Cricetulus griseus: one gene and its partner. The protein of the gene in region 2 interacts with the protein of the main gene of each other region in a pairwise test. Links are inferred from orthologs where the notes say so. Each region holds a gene or a part of one and is shown on either strand. Other genes may lie near its edges.

Evidence for each region.
Region 1: the proteins of Rnf185 (region 2) and Yipf2 interact in binary tests that used the Homo sapiens proteins (3 or more experiments, as listed by UniProt). The two-hybrid records come from large-scale screens. The link is inferred for Cricetulus griseus from reciprocal best matches to the Homo sapiens genes RNF185 and YIPF2.

The regions. Positions count from the first base shown.
Region 1 is NC_048597.1:134,467,328-134,475,031, forward strand, and holds Yipf2 (protein YIPF2), read right to left. Parts: upstream 4,802-7,704; 5' UTR 4,711-4,801; exon of another isoform or gene 4,520-4,710; 5' UTR 4,492-4,519; coding exon 4,461-4,491; intron 4,132-4,460; coding exon 3,974-4,131; intron 3,895-3,973; coding exon 3,814-3,894; intron 3,006-3,813; coding exon 2,918-3,005; intron 1,845-2,917; coding exon 1,728-1,844; intron 1,650-1,727; coding exon 1,483-1,649; intron 1,401-1,482; coding exon 1,218-1,400; intron 1,138-1,217; coding exon 1,024-1,137; 3' UTR 1,007-1,023; exon of another isoform or gene 1,005-1,006; intron 928-1,004; 3' UTR 44-927; downstream 1-43. Other genes in the region: Timm29 (mitochondrial import inner membrane translocase subunit Tim29), read left to right, coding at 4,839-4,986, 5,078-5,766.
Region 2 is NW_023276807.1:101,474,609-101,482,212, reverse strand, and holds part of Rnf185 (E3 ubiquitin-protein ligase RNF185), read right to left. Parts: intron 6,812-7,604; coding exon 6,757-6,811; intron 1,729-6,756; coding exon 1,611-1,728; intron 1-1,610. UniProt on the Homo sapiens protein: E3 ubiquitin-protein ligase that regulates selective mitochondrial autophagy by mediating 'Lys-63'-linked polyubiquitination of BNIP1.

The DNA.
Region 1 (7,704 bases), on a different chromosome or scaffold from region 2:
CTCTCAACTACCAGGCCACATGGTCACCATGGGCGTGACATGCTGCTTTTTTTAATTTTATTTTTTTACGAAAAGAACCAGTGTCAACCCACAGACCCTCTGAGAAACCCGGCTGGCCGGGCCCAGCCAGCAGCCCCTGTCCCTAGGCCCAGAGGTTCTAGGTGAGGGGTGGCCCTGTCAAGCCTTCAGGGCGGACGTAATCCCCTCTCACCAAAGGGTTCACCTCACACTTGAATGTACAAAACTCCCAGCTGTCCAAAGGCCTCTAGCCTCTGCTTCCTGCTACTGTCCTGTCCTGAGCCCTAAAGTCCCCCTCCACCAAAACCTGGAACAGGCAGCCCAGAGGGAAAGTCACCTAGGGCCAGTGGGGTAGACAAAAACCTCAAGGATCTGTCACAGAAGGAAGGAGGGCATCCTCTCCCTGATAGCTAACATAGGCCTGTGTGTGCACTCCACATTCATGCTCTACTTCCTCCTCTCAAGACAGCACCCCTGAGAAGGGGCCTAGCAGGAACCTCTCCCTCCAGACAGAACAAGAAGAAAAGCAAACAAGGAAGGAAAGGCAGTTTCTCCCCTGCTCCTTTGCCCTAGAGTCCCCACCTCAGTGGCCAGAGCCCAGGCTGGGCCCATGCCCACCACAGGTACTCCTGGCAATGGCTGGACCTGCCCTGTGCCACCCCCTGACCTGTAAGGGAAACAGGGCCCACAGGCAGGCTGGGAAACCGGGCTCTTCTGTCCATCAGTAATATTTCCTGCTCGGCTGCCCCCCCCACCTTTATATAAATTCTCTGGATCACCTTTGCATAGAAAATAAAAGTGTTTGCTTTGTAAGAAAAGCCTGCAAAGTAGCAGGGTGGTCTCCAGGGTCCAAGACTCCTCTAATCTTCACAGGGAGGGCAGGACAGGTCGTAGCCCCTGGGGTTTGACCTGGAAAAGAGAGACTGCTAGCAGTGGCCCCAGGAGGAAGAAGGTGAACCCTTAGCCACAACAGAAACTGGCCCCTCACCTGCAGGCCTGGCTTTCCTAGAAGGTTGTCATGGACCGGGCTGAGGTGGGCAGCAGGACACTGGGAGATAGAAGTGTGGCTTGGGGTGCTGGTATCACATGTTCCAGGGGCAATGGCTGGAAGAAGTACAGCTGCAGAGAGATGTCAGGGTGAATGTGCAGCTGGGTAGCAGCAAGCCCCACTCCACAGCCCTGCTGAGGAAGGACCCTACCTTACAACCTAGAGCCAAGAGGGCGTGAAGCAGCACCACAGTGGACAGCAGTGCTGCAGCCACCAGCCTTGTATCCTCTCGAACAACAGGCCACAGGGTGAACACCAGCCCGGCAGCTGACAGGGCCAGGGCCAGTGCTCCAAAGAGCCACTGCAGCCACTCCACTGGGATAAGCCACAGGACCTAGTGTGACAAGTGTAACTGGTGACCATACAGGGGGTGCCATTCAGCTTCCCACCAGTCCCCAGGGCCAAGCCACACTCACCACGGTGGGGATGAAGACAAAGAGTGAGTAGCCATAAACACAAACCGTCTCCAGGAAGGTGTACAGCCCCATGTGCTCCCTTGTGCCCTGACGCCACCGAAGGAAGCCCCACAGTGCCAGTGGCACTAGCCACGCATAGCAGTAGATGGTGATGCCAGCTATAGTCACTAGGAATGCAACATGGGCAGTTACTGCATGCCCTGCGGCCCATGCAGCCAGGAGCTGAGCCCACCCATTCTGCTTACCCTTGTGGAACTGGGGGCTGTAGTGGATGGAGGGGTCCCGCCTCTGTGCAAGCACCAAAGTGAGGTTGCCAGTAACTGCCAGGACAAAGGCCAACGTAGCACAGATCCAGAAAGGGCCTGCAAAAGGGACATGGAGTCCCAGGTTCATCACTCCTAGGAAAGGTTAGCTATGTCCTGTTTTAAGTGTGGTAAGACCCCAGACTGCATTTGACTCTCCAGATGGCTGGTAATAAGAGCTGCCTCTGGGCTCATCCTGTCTTTCTAGAAATAACTTCCAAAATCCCTCAAGCACTTGGCTTGTTTTTTTTTTTTTTTTTTTTTAAACAGTCCTGGGTGTACTGGAACTCACTTTGTAGATCAGGCTGGCCTCAAACTCACTGAGATCCACTTGCCTCTGCCTCCCAAGTGCTGGGACTAAAGGCCTGTTCTACCACCACCCATTATCTAAGAAAGTTCTTTATAGGTAGAATAGTCTTGGTGCTTTTCCACTGTGGGCAGGATCTTGTCCATACCTAAGGTTTCATGAATGCTACCTTCAGCTGTCCATTCCAAAGTTGCTTCAGGCCCTGAACTGCATGCTTATTTTTGAACTTCATATGTGTGTCCTCAGCCCCTGTACCCCTGATCTGCTCCTCATACCTGCCCAGACGTTCCTCTTGGTGGACTGGGTAGAAGACCACCCTTGCCTTTCCCACTCTAGAACCAATCACTCTGCACTTACAGCCTCCACTGTAATGTCTGCCCCTGCCTCCTCTAGCTGGCTTCTACCATTAATTTCGACAGTGCCAGAGGAGATCTTTCTAAAAATTTCACACCAGGATCCCTTCTTGCGATGTTATGGGACCACTGTACTCATCCCCTACCCATGAGCTCCCAGCTGTTCCTTCCACTCCAGGGACCTATGCCACCATGCAACTCAGTTTTATTTCCACCATGGGTCCCAGAAACTTTCTGGGTTCCCTTCTAAGCTTTTCTCCACCAATGCCAACAAAACTCATTTGCCTACCCTACTCAAAGGCCTTCCTGACTTCTCTGTACCAGGCAGTGATGCCACTCATCCTCTGTGTTAGCCCTGCTTCCCATCCTGGTGTCTCCCTCAACTAGACACAAATTTTCTTTATGACTGACTGCCCTGCTCAGGGCCTGGCACAGACCCTTGTATGTTAAATCAAACACATAGCCTCATTTACCATATAGGTCAGGCCGATTTCTAAGATGGTACCTCACAAAGTTGTGGCCAGGGTGGGGCAGCAGCGAACCTTTAATCCGGTCCAAGACCTGGAGAGCAAAGCCAGGATCCAGAATGAAAATCCATGCATTCTGAGAGATATAGCCCCTGTAGATTTCTACTATTTTGCCACTACATCCTAACTGAAACAAGCTCAGTTGTCCCCTCCAAGCTGTTCATTGGGTGTCTCTATGGCTTGTGGTCTTGACACCCCTACCTCCTGCTGAACAAGTCACTACTCTGAATGTAGGCTTTTGGGAATGCCATTTCTTTTTAAAATTTTTTTTAATGTGCATTGGTGTTTTGCCGTGCATGTCAAGTCCCCTGGAGCTGGAGTTACAAACAGTTGTGAGCCACCATGTGGGTGCTGGAAATTGAACCCCCAGGTTCTCTAGATGAGCAGTCAGTACTTTTAACCTCTGAGCCATATTGTCAGCCCCTCTCTCAACTTCTTGCAGCCTCTCCTCCCAGCCACAGTAAGGACAGTCCATAAATTCTGGATGTTCTTCCTCCTACATCTCCAGGATGTGCCCTCTCAGTAGATGTGGTTTATTAGCAGAGGCTGCCCTGTGTTCCACATCTGTATCTGCTTATTCTACTCATCCCTCTCCTGCTCTAAAATCTTCCATAACTCCCCATCGCCTCGGGCCAAGACCCAAACTTCAGCTCATTAATGGAGCTTTCATCCAGGCCAAGTGGTGCCATTTGTGGCCCTACCTACCCAGGAGGCTGAGAGAAGACACTGGCTTTCAGACCCATACCCACCCACCCATCTACCTTGCCTTCCGGCCCTACCACACACACAGTCCATCCAAATACAGTGGCTGAGCCCCAAACAACCAATGTCCCAGGCCTCACCTGGGAGGTGTCCACATCAAAGAAGCTTTGATAGTAGTCAAACGTCCAGAATCTTGGCTGTGGCTTTTCTTCCTGTAGAAGCTACAAGACACAAACTTTCAGAAGCTGCCTCTCAGCCCAGCTATGGACAGGCATGGCATGCGGGGCCCAGGGGACTTACCGATGCTCTATCGCCCTCTTCCTCCACCACTTCGGCTCCATAGCCAATACCTGATCCCACGACCACAGTCACGTGCTCCCGTGAGGTCAGGGCATCACTTTGGCTAGTGGTGGCTGCATCTGGGGTCTCTGCCAGAAGATTTGTGGCTTCTTCGAACTCTACGGTCAGAGAAAATGGGCACAGGTGTTTGGATTCTGAAAATCTCTTGACCATCACCCCGGGCTGTGGTTGCCTCACTACACTCCCTAAGGACTGCGTTTCTTCAATTTTGACGCATAGAGAAGTCTGTTTCTCGACTAAGATGGGGTTCAGGTTAGGTTCTAGGCAGACTTGGAGGCTCTGATGTGCCTCTGAGTTTATAGTGGGAGCAGGGATTGACTGAGTACGGGATGAACCCCAGGTTCACGCTGGGATCTAGGTCCCAGCTGCCTGGAGTTTTATCCTAGGACAGGAGTAGGAGCTCTGACCACTTCCCGGCCCCACTCACCATGGAAGGCCAGTGCGTCAGCCGCTGCCATGATTCTTTTGAGGCGTCACCGCATTGCGCTGTGTGGACAGAACTGCATCAGTCCCTCAGCCCTCCCCAGGATTGATGCTTCCGCCTACAGTCCTGCCTGGAGCCTACCGAACACCTGGAGTGAGACCAGCCCTGGGCCAGGTGCACCCCGCCCTCCTCACCTAAGGCTACCTAAGCTGGCGTGGCCCATCCTCCGTGCGCGTGCGTGCGGCCAGCGTACCCGTCAGAGCCCACTCTTCATGCAACGGCAACATCCGGCGCCAGCCCGGCTTCCGGTTTTCAGTGAGAAACTACTTCCGGTACCTTGCGCGTGCGCAGGAGCCACTCCGCACCTTTGGTTCCGCCGCTATGCTTTTCCGCTGGCCAACGGACGGCGGGAAGAGGATGGCCACCGCCGCTCTCAAGAGGCTCGGGTCCGCTGGGCGCAGTGAAGCGCGAGGAGAGGCGAATGCTGCCGCGACGGTGGCGGCGAAGCCAGGGCTGTGGGCGCGACTGGGTGAGTAGTGGCGGCGGGGGTGGCGGCGGGGGTGGGGGGCGGCCCGCGTGCCCGGATCGCTGTCACCTCCGCGCTGGCGTCTTTCCTTCAGGCACTTGGACCCGCGCGCTGCTTCGCGATTACGCCGAGGCCTGCAGAGACGCGGCGGCGGCGGCTCGGGCCCGGCCAGGCCGCGCGGCAGTCTACGTGGGGCTGTTGGGCGGCGCCGCGGCGTGCTGCGCCCTGGCCCCTGGCGAGGCCACCTTCGAAGAGGCCTTGCTCGACGCGTCGGGGTCCCTCCTGCTGCTGGCGCCGGCCACGCGTAACCGTCACTCGGAAGCGTTCTTGCAGCGCCTGCTGTGGCTGAGAGGCCGCGGGCGGCTGCGCCACGTGAACCTGGGGCTCTGCTCGCTGGTGTACGAGGCGCCCTTCGATGCCCAGGCCAGCCTCTACCAGGCCCGCTGCCGCTACCTGCAGCCGCGTTGGATCGACTTCCCCGGTCGGGTCCTCGACGTGGGGTTCCTGGGCCGTTGGTGGATCCTGGAGAACCGCATGCAGGATTGCGACATTAACGACGACGAGTTTCTTCACCTGCCTGCGCACCTCCGTGTCGTCGGGCCCCACCAGCTGCATTCCGAGGCCAACGAGAGGCTGTTCGAGGAGAAGTACAAGCCGATTGTGCTCACTGATGACCAGGTGGACCAGGCGCTGTGGGAAGAGCAGGTCTTGCAAAAGGAAAAAAAGGATAGACTGGCGCTGAGCGAGGCCAATTCACTGGTGCAGGCCGAGGTTTCCAGATGAAACCCCAGGTCTCCAGGTTCAGGCAGACTGTTTGCCACGAGTGGATGCAACGGATGAGATGGCTGGTTGTAAACTCTGCTCGGTGTGGTTTTGTGGGAAGACCTTCTCGCTCCGTCTGTTTCATTAGCCGAAGCTAATTGAAAGCTTTCCTGATCTTGGAGATGGAGAACAGCTGAAGGACTGGTCTTGAACATGGAGAAGAGCTGAAGCATTTGTCCGTGTTATATTTATAACCACCAGAAGTACTAGTAAGGAGCCTGTATGGGGTAGCCTGTTGTCGACGGGGATGTACTTCAGTGGTAGAGCACTTGCCTAGCGTGCCTGGGTTCTTGGCTTCCAATCCCAGCACTGTAAAACAGAACAAAAAAGAACTTTTTGTTTGGGGGTTATTGTTTATTTGGTTGGGTTTTGAGACTAGGACTCCCAAAGAACCCAGACTGACCCTAAATCCTCCTGCCTCAGCTCCAGTCCACCACAGTGTACACAGTCCATGCATAATAGCCTACTGTGTAGCAAAGGGTGACTTGCCTGCACTTCCCAGATGGGGGGAGAAAGGGTTCTGCTGTACACTTTATTATTGTTGAGTACTAGACATCAAAGACGGGGTCTTGTACATACAGGGCAAGCACTGAACCCCCAAGGCTTTTTTTTTTTTTTTTTTTAATGTATGCACTTTTCTATCTGCATGTATGCCTGCAGGCCAGAATAAGGCATCAGGTCTCATTACAGATGTTTGTGACCCACCATGAGGTTGCTGAGAGTTGAACTCTGGAAGAACAGGAAGTGCTCTTAACCTCTGAGCCACTCTCCAACCCCATTTTTTAAATTATTTTTTCTAAATTTTTTTAAAAATGTATTTATTTATTATGTATACAATGTTCTGCCTGCATACCAGAAGAGGGCACCAGATTTCATTATAGATAGTCATGAGCCACCCTGTGTTTGCTGGGAATTGAACTCAGGTCCCCTGGAAGAGTAGTCAGTGCTCTTAACCTCTGAGTCATCTCTCCAGCCCCTTCTCCGGTCTTCTTGGGATTTTTTTGTTTTGTTTAATAGTTTCTATTTAGTCCTTGAGGCCCTTGGACCTAGCTTCTCTTAACTGGTAACATTGTGTAATACCATCAGTGCAGGAGATAGATATGGAAGTGAACAGATGTCAGTGTTAGGTGTATGGCAGCAATTGGAAGCACAGAGGAAAGCTCCCAAAGCCTACATGCAGTCATATGTCATTACACTGCAGGGACCCTTCAAACAGTTCTGTGCAAAGGAACAAGGTGGGACACATAGGTTGGATCTGGCAAAGTTCAAGCTAAAACATTAGGAAAGCAAGACTACCAGTGTCAGGTGGCCTGTGGCTAGTCAATAAAGGCTGAGGATCAACCAGTCCTCTTTGTCATGATTTGTTTAAGATCTGTTGTACACTGAGCTACCCCCAGTCCTGGTGGTATGTTTTGTCTCTATCTTTTGTTGTCAGATGTACAGAAAGTGTGGTAGTTCTTTTTGTTTGGTTGGGTTTTTGGGTTTTTTGAGACAGGGTTTCTCTGTGGGGACCTGGCTGTCCTGGAACTCAGAGATCCCTGTCTTTGCTTTCTGTATGCTGGAATTAAAGGTGTGTGCTATCACCTCTGGTGTGTGGTAATTCTTAAGTCCAAACCTTTTGGCAAGATGAGGATGCTAATACACATTTTGGAGACTGTCAAGGTGGCTCAGTAGGTAAAGGCATGTTTAGCCAAGCCCAACCACCTGAGTTCATGCCCTGGAACTTACCTGGGAGAGAGAGAATCAATCAACTCCAAGTTGTCCTGTGACCTCCATGCTCACAAAATAAATTAAAATCTAATAAAGGTTTCTAAAACGTTCACGTTTGTAATTTTTAGATTTTTTTTTTTTTTTGGTTTTTTTTGGGGTTTTTTTTTTTTTTTTTTTTTTTGGTTTTTC
Region 2 (7,604 bases):
CTGTCTGTGTGCATGTTTTTTCCAGAAGAGAACCAGGGCCTAGAAATCATATGGTAAGGTAGAAGGAGACTGAGTGAGAACCTCTTCTAGTTAAGAGTTCTCTGCTCAGACTATAGAGGAAGCAAAGTGACAGGATCTACATCCAGGCAGTGCAAACTATACCAAACTGTGACAACAAAAAATGATCCAGAGCCCAGCCTGGCTGGGAATGAACTGGGGGAGAGCCAGTCTGAATGCTGGACCAGGCTAGAAAGCATCAAGCTAGTCAGAAGTTCCTGTTGCCGCTACAGGGATCTGTCTTTCCTTTATGGCAAATTACATCCTGCCCTTTGGGGTTCCCTTTCTCTGAGAAAACAATGTGTGAACAGCAGAGAAACATTCCAGGCAGATAAGATGGAGTAGTGCCCAGTATTTTGTGGGGTTGCATGTCATTACCTCAAAGTTGGTTGCTCTGATAAACTCATGCAGGCAGGCAACCAAGAGGTTTATTGCCTATGTTCAAGGAATCAGGTGAAGCAGGGAACAGCTTTGATGATTTCTGAGTGGGTGATCATATTCAGAGCACAAGTTCCTGACCAGAGCTACACTGGTCACTTCTGTTCCTCATACTGTACTCAAGTCCCAGAAGGCTCCAATGACTGTAAGAAGGGCTCAACTAACCATATCATCTTTTATAGGCTCCATGACATGAATGGTGGCTCAGGTGTCAGAGTGTCAGTCTAGCATACACCTTGCTGCCTTGCTGTACTCTGAATGCAGCTGTTATAGACAAGTAGCTGAAGGGAGAAATGCAGCAGCAGGTAATAGATATGAACACAGTTCACAAAGCTTTCAAGTTTGGTATCAGCCCCGTTTTGTGTCCTGAGAGAAGCTGGGCAGAGATGCCAGGGAACAGGAAACCCTAACATTTCATTTCTCCCTGGCCTCAAATGATCAAAGACAGAGAGAGAGAGAGAGAGAGAGAGAGAGAGAGAGACAGAGAGAGAGAGACAGAGAGAGAGAGACAGAGAGAGAGAGACAGAGAGAGAGAGACAGAGAGAGATAGAGAGAGAGGGAGATAGGGAGAGAGAGAGAGAGAATTAAGCTTTTCATTAGCTAGGTATTGTCTATAATTCTTTTTTTTTTTTTTTTTTTTTTTTTTTGGTTTTTCGAGACAGGGTTTCTCTGTGGCTTTGGAGTCTATCCTGCAACTAGCTCTTGTACACCAGGCTGGTCTCGAACTCACAAAGATCCACCTGCCTCTGCCTCCCCAGTGCTGGGATTAAAGGCGTGTGCCACCAACGCTGGCTAATAATTCTTAAGTCTAATGGTCATGGGCTATGTCTTGGAATCATTACTGAGAATTTTACCTATAAAGCAGCTAACTGCATAGGTATTTGGAGTGCAGATGATGAGCCCCTCAGTATGTAATATAACATAAAGCATCCCACATATACCTAGCACATGGCATGTGCTCAGAATTGCTGGATGAGTGTGGTAATCTGCAAAGAATTAAGGGAGTTTGCAAAGCCTGATACCCATGTACTGACAATTATCTGTAACTTCTATACTGCTGAATTCCAAGGAGTTTTCAAGCAGGATTATTTATGTTTGTGAGAAATGGGGCTTACCTGGAGGAGGCCGTCCATCGTTTATGTTAAATGCTGTGGCAAATATCCCAAATGGAAATGCTCCGATTCCAAAAGACATCTGAAAGCCACCGTCTCCAAATCCAAATCCTTGAAATCCCTGTGGAGAAGAAAAGCAATTAAGAAAAATAAGCAGATTTATTTCACATTTCTCAAACTATGTCTTACATCATAGCGCATATGACACATACATTTCTTCTTGTCCCTTTTCCACAAACTAGGGCCTCAGCTCTTCCTCCCATCTAGGCCCCAGAGTGAAGGAACACTAAAGGCACCTCTGACCTTCTAGCCTTAGCTCCAATCTAAGGAGCTATATGGTGCAAAAAGAGCCCACTCTGACGAGAAGTGAAACACACTTTTATCAGTATGTTTAGATCATTTTCCAGGGTTCCACATTAGCCAGGAAAATTTCCAACATGCTATTTATATAATACCCTTGGCAATTAGTGTCATACCCAAATGCAAAGGAATATTACAAACTATATACTATAGGCAATAACAAAAAAGATGGAACTCTGGTCAATAATATCAGTCAAACAAAATCTTGTAAAATGTTCTCCAAGGACCCTGGTGCTCATTTATGCAACAAGATAGTAAACCTTGTGATTTTAACGGTCAAACTTCTTAAACACCCATACATAACAATATGAGTATGTTTGTCAAGATATGGGTAAGCATTTCCCTTAAAACCTTCAGATGCTGTTGGGTATAGCCCTGGATTTAATATAAAGCACAGCATAAGTCAGGCATGGTGGCACACACCTATCATCACAGCACTCACAAAGTAAACATAGGATGATCAGAAGTTCCAGGTCATCCTCAGCTACATATTGAGTTCAAAGCCAACCCAGGATACACAACAGGACCTTGCCATAAAAAAATTATCTTAAGCAGGGCATTGGTGGCACATGCCTTTAATCCCAGCACTCGAGAAGCAAGAGGCAGGTGGATCTCTGTGAGCTCGAGCCAGCCTGGTCTATAGAGTGAGTTCCAAACCTCCAAAGCAATACAGAGAAACCCTGTCTAGAAAAAAAACAAAAAAAACAAAACAACAACAACAACAAAAGATTATTTTAAGCTAAGTGGTGGTAGTTGGATAATTAAAGTCAGAGATCTTCCTAAACAGCCACTGTCAGCAGTTTGTACAGCAGCCTTGGTTTCTTCCCCCAAACATATTCACCACACGAGATCTTTTCCAAGGATGGACTCCTCAAAACAACAGCTGTTAATAAACAACACCTCTGTCTGAGTGCAAAGTCTCCTGGCACAGGATACTCAAATCCAGCCTTTCCTTTCCCTTATCCCAACTCTGACAGGATCTCACAGGTGGCGTAGGCTGGCCTCACATTTGCAATGCTCCTGCCTCAGCATCCTGAGTGCTGGAATCACAGATGAGTACCTCCTAGGGTGTCAGCTTATGTTTAATTCTTGCATTAGCATTTTACAGAAGACTAAACCCGATCTGATCTGAAAATCCAAACTCAAAAAGATGTGTTTTAATTGTATATAGTGTGCCTATGTGTATTGCACATGTTTCACGGTGCACATGAGGTCAAAGGACAACTTTGTGGAGTCAGTACCCTCTTCATCTATGTGAGTTCTGGGGATTGAACAAAGGTCACTGGGCTTGCATGACAAAGAGCCTTTACATACAGCCAACTTAATCAAGTGCACAACTTACAAACTCTTTTCCTTCCTTTTTACTTCTGGTGAGCTCTTTAGAACAAATGATGAAATAATAGAAAGACAGGGGTGTTAGGGTACTGGAATGGTGGCATGCACTAATCCCAGCACTTGGGAGGCAGAGGCAGCTGGATCTCTGGGAGTTCAAGGTCAGCCTGGACTACATATTGAGCTCTAGCTAACAAAGACAGGGCTCCACAGTGAAACCTTAAGAGAACAAAAATAAAAAAGACAGATATACTAGACTACTAGCAGCTGCAGGTGCTTATAACCCTAGGTCTGTCCTCAGCCATCAGGGCTAAAGCCTCGGGCTTCCTGGGGTCTCTGACTTGTATTGGTTGATGATGATGCTTGAGCAAGCAGAGCCTGAGAAGGTAAAGGGCTGCTGTCTAGCAGTCAAGAGCAGAGACTTGGGTAGCACCCAGGTTGGGTTTTGGCTCTGTGTGTGCACCTAGACAGGCACACCACATATATCTGACCTCAGTTATCACCTTTCCATGTGTTTATGAGGCTTAAATGAGGTCATGAGACAGGGTTTCTCTGTGCGGTCCTGGCTGTCCTGGATCTCATTATGTAGACCAGGATGGTCTCAAACTCAGAGGTACACACTACCACCACCCAGCAAAACTCTTAATATAGGAGAAAAGAACCTCAACTTTCATCAGATCCTTGACCTTATCATACTGGGACTCCTAAAGAAATGCACCAATTCAGCTGGGTAGTAGTAGTACATGCCTTTAATCTCAGCACTTGGAAGGCAGAGGCAGGTGATGTTTGAGTTCAAGGTTAGCCTGGTTTACAGAGTGAGTTTCAAGACAGCCAGGCCACACAGAGAAACCCTGTCTCAAAAATCCAACCCCCCTCAAATGCACAAATTCAAGTGAAAAAATGATGCGTACAAAGATTATCATGGTGTTACTTACATAGCAAAGTCTGTCAGTAACTCTAAGACCCTTCAATGATGAACTGAAATTATACCAAATCAAAATTCAATGGAAGGATAGTGATATAGCTCAGTGGTACAATGTTACCTAGCACACTTAACACCTTGAATTTAATACCCAGAGCATTCCTCCACACCCCTATATAGACATAATCTCATTCTCATTCTCTCTGTCTCTCTCTGTCTCTCTCTCTCTCTGTCTCTCTCTCTCAGATAACATGGCAGCCTTCACTAAAGGGAACCAAGAAGGCTGGAGGTGCAGCTGGGTTGAGTAGAGCTGTCTAGCATGCACAAAGCTCTGGGTTCGATCCCTAGCGCTGGAGAAGTGCAGGCAGGGGAATCCAGAGGTCCTATGTCCTTTTCTGGTTTCCACAGGGAATAATCTTACATATACATAAATAAATGATACAAAATAATTAAAAAAGACTAGAATATGAACAAACATCTCTCTAAAACAACATATTAAAAAGGAAACACAATGACATTAGAAGATACTTTGTTTAGAATATCATGAAATATACTGTCAAAATTAAATTTGAAACCAGAATAGTAACAGAATAGTGGGAGTGACATAAAAATAAGAATATATAGGCAGGAGACATGGCTCCATGACTAAGATGACAAATTGTTCTTGTAGAGGACCTGAGTTCAGTTCCCAGCACCCATGTTGGGTAGCTCAAAATTGCCTTCAACTCTAGCTTCAGTGGAATATGATGCCTCTAGTGTATATACCCACTACAAACATATACATAATTTATAATAAAATCAAAAAGAATATATGGTTACAAATGATGAGAACTGCAGAAATTAGTATATACTTGTTTCTAGGATTCTAACAGTTCAGGCATACAAGTTCCCTTTAAATTTTCATTTAATGTACATTTTAAAATTTTTAATTGATTTTCTGACACAGTTTCATATTCCTAGACTGGCCCTGAACTCACTAAGTAGCTGCAGTGGTTTGAATGAGAATGACCCCATAGGCTCATATTTGAACGGTTTGATCCTCAGTTGGTGGAATTGTTTGTCAAGGATTAGAGGTGTGGCCTTGTTGGAAGAGATGTGTCACTGGGGTGGGCTTTGAGGTTTCAAAAGCCTCGAGGCATTTCCAGTCGGTTCTCTCTGCTTCCTGCTTATAGATAAGGATGTTAAGCTCAAAGGTGCTGCTCCAGCACTATGCCTGCCTAACTGCTACTATGATCCTGGCAATGAGCTACATTCCAGTCCCCATTAATACTTTAACAGAAACTGCTATTTGGAAAAAAAAAAGACTAATATTTCATTTAAATGCATACATATTTTGAGCCACTAATTCTAAGAATTTATCATAATAAAATAATTGTGGTTCTACACAAAACTTTGTAATTTCATCCGAGTATGTTTAAGACAGCAGGGTAGTAGGTAAGTGTCCCATAATATAGTAGATGCCATTACATTAGGTCTACACAACTGAGCATCAGCTGTTAAATTTCGTGACATTTCAGTGACATTTCAGTAACATTTTAAACTGCACTGTTGAAATTCCAATTCTCATGAGGACATTCCATGAGGGCAGAGACCATTTGCTAGGTTCACTGATAAATTATCACTGCCAAAATAGTGACCAGAGCACATTAAGGTACCTAGTATCTGTAGAATAGATAAAAATTTTAAAATTAGAAAATAAGAGCCAAATATTGTAAAACAAACAAACAATCAAAAACCCAAAAAGCAGGAGGCTAGAGAGATGGCTCAGTAGTTTAAGAGTACTGTCTGCTCTTCCAGAGGACTTGGGTTCAATTCCCAGCACCCACTTGACATCTCACAACTGACTGCAATTCCAGTTCCAAGGATCTGGAACCCTCACATAGATGTACACACAGGCAAAACAACTGCACATAAAATAAGTAAGCCAGGCATGGTGGCCTATGTCCATAACAACAGTACTAGGAAACAGAGGCAGGAAGATCATTCATTCCAGATCAGCCTGGGCTACATAGTGGGACCCTATCTCAAAAGTCCAAGAAATCAGGCTGGTAAGACAATCTGGTGGTAAAGGGGCTTGCCATGAAGACTGATAATTAACTCCAGAGCCCATGATGGAAGGAGGGAACCAACTCCCCAAAGTTTTCCTCTCATCCCTATACATATGTCCCCACCATATATACACAACAATAATAAAAGTAAAAATTAAATTTAAAAAATCTAAGGAATAAATATATAAATGTACAATCAACAAACATACATATATCAATTAATAAACACACACACACACACACACATGCATGCACACACATATACAGTAAAAGAAGATGAGGAAACAGGTCCAAATGCTCCCAGTGGCTATCTCTGGATGAGTGGTTCTAGGATTTCACCCTGCTTGCCTCCTTTCTGTACTTTACAAATCTTCCTTTAAAACTTTTCTTCTTGTTTAGAACAAGGAAAAAAAACCCGCAAGTTCAACAGCAAAGTTTTAAAAGTCACAGGCACACTTCTAAAAGATTCTTTTAGAATGTTCCTCACCCCTCTATTTTCAGGCTCCGGCCTCTGGCCTTGAGGACGAGGAGGAGTCTTCTCTCTGAAAAGAAATTGTACAAAGTAAGGCCATCACAAAATACTGTGAGTTGCTGTCTGTGAGGACTAACCAACAGGGTTTGGGCCACTCTCCTGTTCAACACATAAAATTACTTGGCTGGGCCATAGCAGTGCACGCCTGTAAATCCCAGTACTCAGAAGACAGAGGCAGGCCATCTTCTGAGTTTGAGGCTGGCTTGGTCTACAGAGAGAGTTCCAGGACAGCCAAGGCTACACAAAGAAACCCTGTCTTAAAACAAAACAAAACAAAACAAACAACTATCCAAACAAACAAACAAAAAACCTCAAATTCTGGTTTTAACTCCTCTCTACCTCAAACCAGGAAAACCAGCTAGTTCTGAGAAAGCCATCAGATTGCACAGCCTATCCTTGCAACAGAGGTCTTGACTCAGTTGTCTTCGTTGGGACTGCTTGATAGGAGCTCATGGGTACCAGAGATGCCAAGCCAGACCAAGGGATGAATTGTGGACTGAGACAATTAGGGCTCAAGATCTCTCTGATCTGCCCCTATTAACTTCAGTTTGGCCTCCATTACTCTTGGGCTAGTACCTCATGCTATCTTTTACTTTTGCCTCTAGTCCTCAGACCCTCCCACCACTCATCTAAACAGCTTGAGTGAGAGTATATTTCACATTTGGCACTAGGTAGGATGCAACCAATACTAATATAGTGACAGATCCCACTAGAGATGATGATAATTTCAGGAGAGACACAATCAATCACAATACAGGAATAAAGGTGGGAATAAAGGTGAGGGCAGTTCCTATGGAGACCAC